Linked DNA regions of Saccharomyces cerevisiae S288C. Changing the gene in region 1 together with any one later gene gives a genetic interaction. Each region holds a gene or a part of one and is shown on either strand. Other genes may lie near its edges.

Region 1 (4,770 bases):
TCAGCTCTATTTATCTTTGACGCGTAATTTGATAATAGTGGAGTAGGATTCCTAAAATAAAACTGCCCGCTCAATAAATCAATTTTTAATTGAATAGGCGCCATGGAAACACATGTGGTAGGGAGTTGAAATAATAGAACATCCGAATTTTCTTCGTCTTCTTGGAATATATCCCTTGCCAACAGCTCCGATCTGATGATTCTAGCATGATTGAACATAATTTCATCCAAAATCCCTTCGATATTAGATACAATATTGTTATAAATTACAGGCATATTTTTGGCCCTTGATGCACTCTGGTTGTCCCATTTTAAGATAAGACTTTCTGTTGTTCTTTGAATGCCAATAGTGATCTTACCCTTACTGTCCATTTTCCCATTCAGCCAATATCTAACTGTAATTGTACTTTTTTTAGAGTCATAGTTATGGATCAAATTACTTTTGGAAAATTTACCGCCGTTGGCCAGCTTTAAAAACTCTCTATGAACCATGTATAGCTGTAATGTCAACACGTATTTGTGCAGAAAATTGTATAGGGATAATAATGGATCATTACTTTTCAAAAGAATTTCATTGATCAACTTCTCTAATCTTGGCTTATTCAAAGGAAGGTTATTTCCGTTGGAACTTGAGTTTTCTTCATTGTTCTCACTATCGCCGTTAGTCGAAGTAGCTTCTGTAACTGCTGAAACAGTTTGTTCAGCTTCCGTGTTAAACAACAATTTTAAATCCACAAAAAACAGAGGGGACTGTCTATTAACAGTCGATAACTGGATTTCAAATTCATTAGGGACAGTAAAGTAGATTCTACCGTTTTTGATATGATAGCTGTTTAATGGTTTAGGAATGTTCATTAATGCAATTTTTATTGAGACAGTCAAGTTCAAATCTTTTAATCTCTGTAAAATCAATCCAATGGGAACTTTGGCCATTCCATCTACCATATCCATAGAGTTACTGACACCGCTTAATTTAAAGTTGTGTGTAGGTAGATTTGGCCTCCCAAGACTCAAAACTTCCAAAGCGGTGACCAAATCCACGTTGGGCAATTTAGCATTGGTCATAGAGTTTAGACTGCTTTTCAAAGCCCAAATACAATTGTTGACATTCATGTTAGTCGTTCTAAACCAGTTCAACAGATCGATTAGTACGTGAAAGTTGTTTTGTTTTATAGTACGGGTCCATTTCACAAGCACGTAAAGTTTCAAAAATTGTGTCCTTAGGAATATAATCAGCTGTAAGAAACGTATTTTCTTTGCGGAGTTAGGCTCATTTGCCTGGGTGTGAACATTAGTTTTCATGTACTGAGCAAGTTCCTTCATTGTAAATACCGTCAAGTTCCTTATTACTAATGCCAGACTGACTTGATTAATCTCAACATGCGGCAACGCTGGCGGAGGCGCACTTGTCATAGTCGCTGCACTTGTATCTTTCGGTACCATTTCTAGAGATTCTTTTTGGGTGGCCGTAGTTTCCGGGTCGGTTGCAGAAGGGCCATGCAGTTGAGTGTTCTTAACGGGACCCTGTTGCTCTTGCCCATTCTGCTCGGACCGGTTCTTCAGTGCGTGCATCTCGTTAGAAAGTCTCTCCTCATTAGCCAGCATTTGTGGGGATCCTATCGTGGTAGTCATTGCCCAGCCAAGAAAACCCTATACTTTCCTGCCACTTTTTAACTCTTTTTCTGATGATCTTTACAACAGACCTCTACTAAACAATTGAAAAATTCACCGTTTTTACTTGAACCAGCGACCGTGCGATGGGACAATCGTTTAGTTAACAATAAGCGGGACAAAGTAATTAAATTTAGTGGCATCTAGAGAGAATAATTGAACGCAATGAAGAGAGCATGGTACGTTGAATTGTAGAATGTGGGGGGATAGTATGCGCGAGCTTGGTGACGCTATGGATAATGAGTTGAATGCAGTGAAGCCGGTGGTGGAAGAAGGTGGCATGGATGGTGCCAGAAAATTTATTAAGGGTAAGAGCTTTCAGAAGTCTTCTACCGAACATATGTTGATTTCGCCCGGTAGGGATGGTTCAGTGCCATTGAATGGGTTGAAATCGTCGCCGGCAGACCCGCACTTGTCTGATGTTAATTCTATCTTGGACAATCATCGTGGCGGTGGCGAGACAGCTTTGACGTCTGTAAATAATATTATCATGGCCACTTCGACGAATGGGGACAGTGATGGGGTTGATGGAGATGCCAAGAGGCCGTCTATTTCTAACTGTTCGTCGAGATCATCATTTTTTGACACCGTACTGAGCACGTTTTCCCTAAAATCAAATTCACAAGATACGGTTACTAATGAAGTCAAAAATATTGAGGTCCAGTTTGCATCCGAGGAGGCTAATAAAAAATTCCGCCAAATGTTCAAGCCATTAGCTCCTAATACGAGACTTATTACGGACTACTTCTGCTACTTCCACAGAGAATTCCCCTATCAGGGCAGAATCTATCTCTCCAACACACATTTATGTTTCAACTCAACCGTGTTGAACTGGATGGCAAAGTTACAGATTCCCTTGAATGAAATTAAATATTTAGATAAGGTCACCACAAATTCAAGTGCTATTTCGGTGGAAACCGTGACTAACAGGTACACTTTTTCCGGATTCATAGCGAGAGACGAGGTTTTCCAATTGATTACAAGAGTTTGGTCAAAGGAAAACTTAACCAATATCAATGACGTTTTGGAGGTTGATGAGAGGGTCTCCAAGAAAAAGGGAATATCATCGACCCCTTCTTCCATATTCAACAATGTTTCTACCAATGCATATAACGATTTCATATCGACAACCACTACTGAACCAACAAGCAGGGCTTCCTACATGAGCGAGAACGACATGCTCATCGAGGAGGCCATAAGGTCCGTGGACGATTACATGGGCACACCAAGAGCATCGCCATCTTCTTCATCTTCGTCGTCATCGTCGTCATCGTCTTTAGGCTCTTCAACAACTTATTATTGTAGGCCCGTATATAGGTTAAAGCCAAACGCACCATTTCAATATGAGGGGCCATTCCATGTACAAGAAACCATGGACTTTCCTTATAAACCTGAGGCTAATAATGAATACGTGCTTCTGGAACGTCAATTCAGCGTTCCACCCGGCCTACTTTTCATTATGATGTTCAATGAAGATAATCCAGTTTTTGAGTTAAGCTTTTTGAAAACTCAAGATTCGTCCAACATCTCACACATAGGGACTTTTGAAAAAGTCAATAAAGATGGACAACATTACAGAGAATTCCAATACACCAAACAGCTGCATTTCCCTGTGGGGCCCAAATCCACAAACTGTGAGGTAGCGGAAATTCTTTTACACTGCGACTGGGAAAGGTACATAAATGTTTTAAGTATAACAAGAACACCAAATGTTCCTAGTGGTACCAGTTTCAGCACCAGAACGAGGTACATGTTCCGATGGGATGACCAGGGGCAAGGTTGCATATTAAAAATAAGTTTTTGGGTGGACTGGAACGCATCCAGTTGGATCAAGCCAATGGTAGAGAGCAATTGTAAAAATGGACAAATTAGCGCCACTAAGGACTTGGTAAAGTTAGTCGAAGAATTTGTAGAGAAATACGTGGAATTGAGCAAAGAAAAAGCAGATACACTCAAGCCGTTGCCCAGTGTTACATCTTTTGGATCACCTAGGAAAGTGGCAGCACCGGAGCTGACGATGGTACAGCCGGAGTCGAAACCAGAAGCTGAGGCGGAAATCTCAGAAATAGGCAGCGACAGATGGAGGTTTAACTGGGTGAACATAATAATCTTGGTGCTCTTGGTGTTAAATCTGCTGTATTTAATGAAGTTGAACAAGAAGATGGATAAGCTGACGAACCTCATGACCCACAAGGACGAAGTTGTAGCGCACGCGACTCTATTGGACATACCAGCCAAAGTACAATGGTCAAGACCAAGAAGGGGAGACGTGTTGTAACAGAGTAATCATGTAATATTGTATGTAAGGTTATGTATGTTCGTATGGTATGGAAAAAAAAAAAAAAAAAGGATGCTATGTGGAGAATGTAAGGCGTGGTAGCTCCGGATAATTCAGTCTGTAGGCTTCATCACGGGCAGTGGCCTGACTCTGAGAGCTTGCTCCGGTATTAAGTTGTGCGTTTGAAATTTTCTGGAAAAAAGAAATTGATTGGTTGAAGCTATACTCGTCGAAAGATTTCTTCGGCAGTGGTTGTTGCTCCACCTGCACGGGAGTTGTGTTTGCGTTTATGTTCGGCTTGGCTATATTATTAGCGAGTGATGTTTGCAATTTGCTGTATTGAGAATCAATTTGGGTGCGTAAGCTTTCAATAATTTTGCAGACCGCAGGCACTTCCAACTTTATGAGTTGCAGGTATTCTCTTTTATGAATATACGATGACGACGATGACGACGACGCATCCATGCGCAAAAGCTCAGGGTGTCTAGATAGTTTGTTAGTCAATAAATCCACATATCTAAAATAATAAATAAACGACAGCGACAAGTCGTTGGCCTGGAACGCACACTGTGCCTTTTCCAATATGCCGATGCATGTTTTCAGGTAAATTCTCAATGGTATCGCCGGATTGAAGCGATAATCCTTAGCGTCCTGAACCAATTGCTTACTAGACTTCATGACCTACCGGGGCCAGATAAAGATGCGGAAGGAAGAGAAAAAATGTATAGTGGTTGGTGAACCGCAACAATAATTCGTGCCAACACTTTAATCGAAGCAAAAATTGTCTTGTATGTTATTAATATTATCTATCTAACCATTGAT
Region 2 (4,211 bases), on another chromosome or scaffold:
TAAATTCCCGGATTTGAAAGCTTATTCCAAGCGAATTATCAATTTTGTAGAAGAAGAACTTGGTCCACTTGGACATTACACAGGTGAAAATATATCGGAAGAAGTTCCATTAAGGGAAAGTAGAATTTTAAGTATGGCAGTCGGACTATTATTGTCGTTTTATGCACTAATACATTCTGTGCTGAAAGTCAGAAACATAGAATCCAAAAATAATACGTTTCAATTGGTTTTGATCAATTTTTCCATCATTGTGAATACCACAATTCGATGCTATCGTATCGACAAAGCACTTTACCCAGAGAAATTCGAAGCCTCCAACCCGCACTTACCGCCACATATGGCGTTATCAATGAGCCTCACGGCAGGGCTTTTTTCCAAAACATTGGTGTTTTTTTGTTCTCTGATCTACTTTAAGTTGACGCTTTTCGAAAATGGACTATGTCTATCCAACGATATGGAAGTTGGATGGTCGGATTTGACGAAATTGACTGTTCCTTTAGACAAGGATCTATCTTTAGGTACAGCAATGAGCTTGTACTCGTCAATCTTCGATCGCTTGTTCACGGTCGGAAATAAAGAATTAATACGCACAATGCATAGATCATCACAATTTGTGATAGAGCTAGCTATTGAAAGGACCTATAGGACTATTCTTGGCAACGTTATTGAATTCAGAAAGTTGACCGAGGAAACATGGCTAGCACAAATCAAACAAGAACTAGATCCGCAGAGCGATAATCCATCATCAGAAGCTAAAATTGTGAGTGATAGGCAGCGGGATCTCAGCCTTGCAGTTCCAACGCCCACGCCCTCAATAATTCCAATGTTACCCTCGCCTGGTGAAACTAAGAACCATGCAAAGAGTCAATCAGAGATCATTCAGATGCTGACAGATGAATTTTGGGCAAATTATAACTCAGGCTGGGAAGAGTTGATTAATCAATCTGAATTTTCCACTCTTTTCGATGATTACAAAGACAATTAATGCTAAGTCGAGGCAATCTCGCGGCGCGACTACTTTGAAGCCTTTTTTTAGTTCTTTTTTATGATCAAAATGTTTATATAATTACCCAGATTATCAACCCACTTCGATGATGGGCCGCACCTGACAGAAAAAAATGAATCAACTGGCTACTAAAGATGGTACAAAAGTTCACTTTATTCAGATATAGAATTGCTGAATCGCTGCTTACCGCCATACGCTTGACTACTTTTACACCCGTACACCACACATACAACCGTACGACTACTTTTCATGCAACAGCGTGCGTTTCGACATGTCTTACACACGAGTAGATCATCCCACTGGAAAAATGGCTTGTCACCTGAGGCAGATTTTGGCAAGCCCACTGTTTTTCGCAAATTATGTACTACATGCAGCCATTCACTACCCTTCGAGCGACATACGCGGCGACATCCTGTAGAGCAATGTTGTCCTTACCAAGACGTCTTGATGAAGGATAAGCATACGCGAAGAGATTTCCTCTCGGAGAGCCTGCAGGGAGCGGCGCACCTCGCCAGCGGAGTTATCACACGTAATGGTACTGAGTGAGAGACCCCGCCCGACACCGCACGGCCATTTGCAGAAAGAAAAACAAAGTCCACTACGGCTAATTACTGCAGAATGCTTTTTTTTCTTTTTTTTTGTGGTTGGTATGTTCCCTTCTAACAGGATTCTTCCTTCGGTAGATCCTTGAGGGGTTTAAGGGGTTTTCTGTTTGCGTAATGGCGTAATTGCCAGCTATATATAACATTATCATCACATATATATCCTTATACGTAGCTTGCCCTTATATATATATTGATATGCGGATATTCGTTGAATGTAGTTCAGTCGTAATCGCTACTTATTGGTAATCATAGCAATTGAATGCTTCTATATTCCTTTCTTACTTTTTTTAATTGCGCATTATAAAAAACTTGAAGGTGCATATTTCCGATTAGGGCCATCAATAGTGACCATAATTATCGGTACATTAATACGTCATGCCATTGAATGAAAAATACGAGAGGCCTCCGCAACCTCCTCCAGCATATGATCCCAACCATAGGCCGCCCAGTTCTTCCGAGAACTCTGCCGCGGCGAATGTCAACGATGGCCAGACGCCGTACCATTTTAGACAGGATCAATATTACAATCTAAATTCCAAAACGAGTGGGGCTCCTATAGGGAGCTTCGACGAGGCCTTTCCTACTGAAAATGACAACAAGCCCAGGTGGAACGATTGGCCATTTACCATTTTTTTCCTATGCACGGTAGGCGGATTCATCGCCATTGCTGCCATAACCTTAAGAGCGTGGTCCCAAACCTATAGCAGTACGGGTTCCGGAATATACGATGGTGTGAATACTGGTACGCTGAACACCAATGCTGCCATCCTGCTAGTTTTCGTGTGCATTATTGCCCTAGTATTCTCCGTTTTGGGCCTCACACTTTGTCGAATTTTTCCGAAGCAGTTTATATATTGCGGTATGGTCATCAACCTAGTGGCTTCTCTTGGGACTGCCATCATGTACATGTCTTTGAGGTACTGGTCTGCAGGTATTGTGTTTTTAGTCTTCACGTTCATGACCGCGTGGTGCTACTGGGGTATGAGGTCTAGAATTCCCCTTTCTGTGGCGGTATTGAAAGTCGTCGTCGATGCCATGAAGAAATGCCCACAGATCTTCTTTGTTTCATTTGTTGGAGCGCTAGTTGCTAGTGCGTTTGGGTTTCTCTTCTCAGCAGTCATTGTGGCTACGTACATAAAGTACGATCCTAATAGCTCGAATGGCGGCTGTGACGTTTCTGGTGGCAGCTGTTCGCATTCCAAATTGATTGGTGTTTTGGTTGTGGTTTTTTTCTGCGGCTATTATATCTCTGAAGTAATAAGAAACGTCATACATTGTGTTATTTCTGGCGTCTTTGGCAGCTGGTATTATATGTCAAAGTCTGACCAAGGAATGCCAAGGTGGCCCGCATTTGGAGCATTGAAGAGAGCCATGACTTACTCGTTCGGTTCCATTTGCTTTGGGTCCTTGCTAGTCGCTTTGATCGACCTGTTGAGACAAATATTGCAAATGATCAGACACGATGTTACCTCCAGCGGTGGCGGTCAAATTGCCATCCAGATTTTGTTTATGGTGTTTGACTGGATTATCGGCTTTCTGAAGTGGCTCGCCGAGTATTTCAATCATTATGCATACTCGTTCATCGCTCTTTATGGTAAACCGTATTTAAGAGCGGCCAAAGAAACCTGGTATATGTTAAGAGAAAAGGGAATGGACGCCCTAATCAATGATAATTTAATTAACATTGCACTGGGTCTATTTTCAATGTTTGCTAGTTATATGACCGCTTTGTTCACGTTCTTGTATCTAAGGTTTACCTCGCCTCAATACAATTCGAACGGCGCTTACAACGGCGCCCTAATGGCATTCTCATTTGTTATTGCTTTACAGATTTGCAACATTGCAACAGAAGCCATTAGATCCGGTACTGCAACTTTCTTTGTTGCTCTTGGTAATGACCCGGAGGTCTTCCATCATTCTTACCCTCATAGGTTTGATGAGATTTTTAGGGCATATCCTGATGTACTCAGAAAATTGAGTCACCAGAATGTGTGAAGAGATGTTTATCATATGTCACTATTTCTCCTTGTTCTTCTTAACAATTCTATATTTAATTACAATATTTTAATACTTAATTTTTTCTACTTCAATTACCTTTAAGTTCTATCTTTATTAAATTGTTTATTTTGTTTTTATACATTCTGTGCAGATTAACAATATGCTATTTATTAAATGACTATTCAAACCTCGAATTGATATTCTTTCTTGAATACCATCCAACAAACGCCCTAATTCCTTCCCTCACCTTTCTGTAATCCTTTGAATTCAACCCCTCAACCACGGCCTTCGCCAAATTATCTCTTTCATTAAGGGTTACTTGGCCAAGTTGTTCCACCACTTTGTAAATCCAATCGATGCAAATAGTGGCATCGTTGTTGTTTGCCTCTGTCAATATCCTTAAACATTTTACAATACAACTGATGGCATCTGAATGAGCGGTGTTTTCAAAAGTAGTAACCAGCCCGATGAATAACACTAATATCAATTGGTTACCGTGGGCTATCACGACTTCGTTAATAACTTGCTTCCTCCATTCATCTGGAACAATCTCGATGGACACTGTTGAGATCGGTGGAGTCTTGAACCCCCAGGATATGATA

The links.
Region 2: mutations in LAM6 (region 1) and PNS1 together harm fitness less than expected from each alone (positive genetic interaction), as found in Saccharomyces cerevisiae (one large-scale study listed by BioGRID).

What each region holds. Positions count from the first base shown.
Region 1 is NC_001144.5:276,996-281,765, forward strand, and holds LAM6 (Lam6p), read left to right. Parts: upstream 1-1,866; coding exon 1,867-3,948; downstream 3,949-4,770. Other genes in the region: RGR1 (Rgr1p), read right to left, coding at 1-1,631; RFU1 (Rfu1p), read right to left, coding at 4,024-4,626.
Region 2 is NC_001147.6:636,334-640,544, reverse strand, and holds PNS1 (Pns1p), read left to right. Parts: upstream 1-1,986; coding exon 1,987-3,606; downstream 3,607-4,211. Other genes in the region: YRR1 (Yrr1p), read left to right, coding at 1-985; YOR161C-C (uncharacterized protein), read left to right, coding at 1,278-1,424; mRNA transport regulator MTR10, read right to left, coding at 3,788-4,211. UniProt on the Saccharomyces cerevisiae protein: Probably involved in transport through the plasma membrane.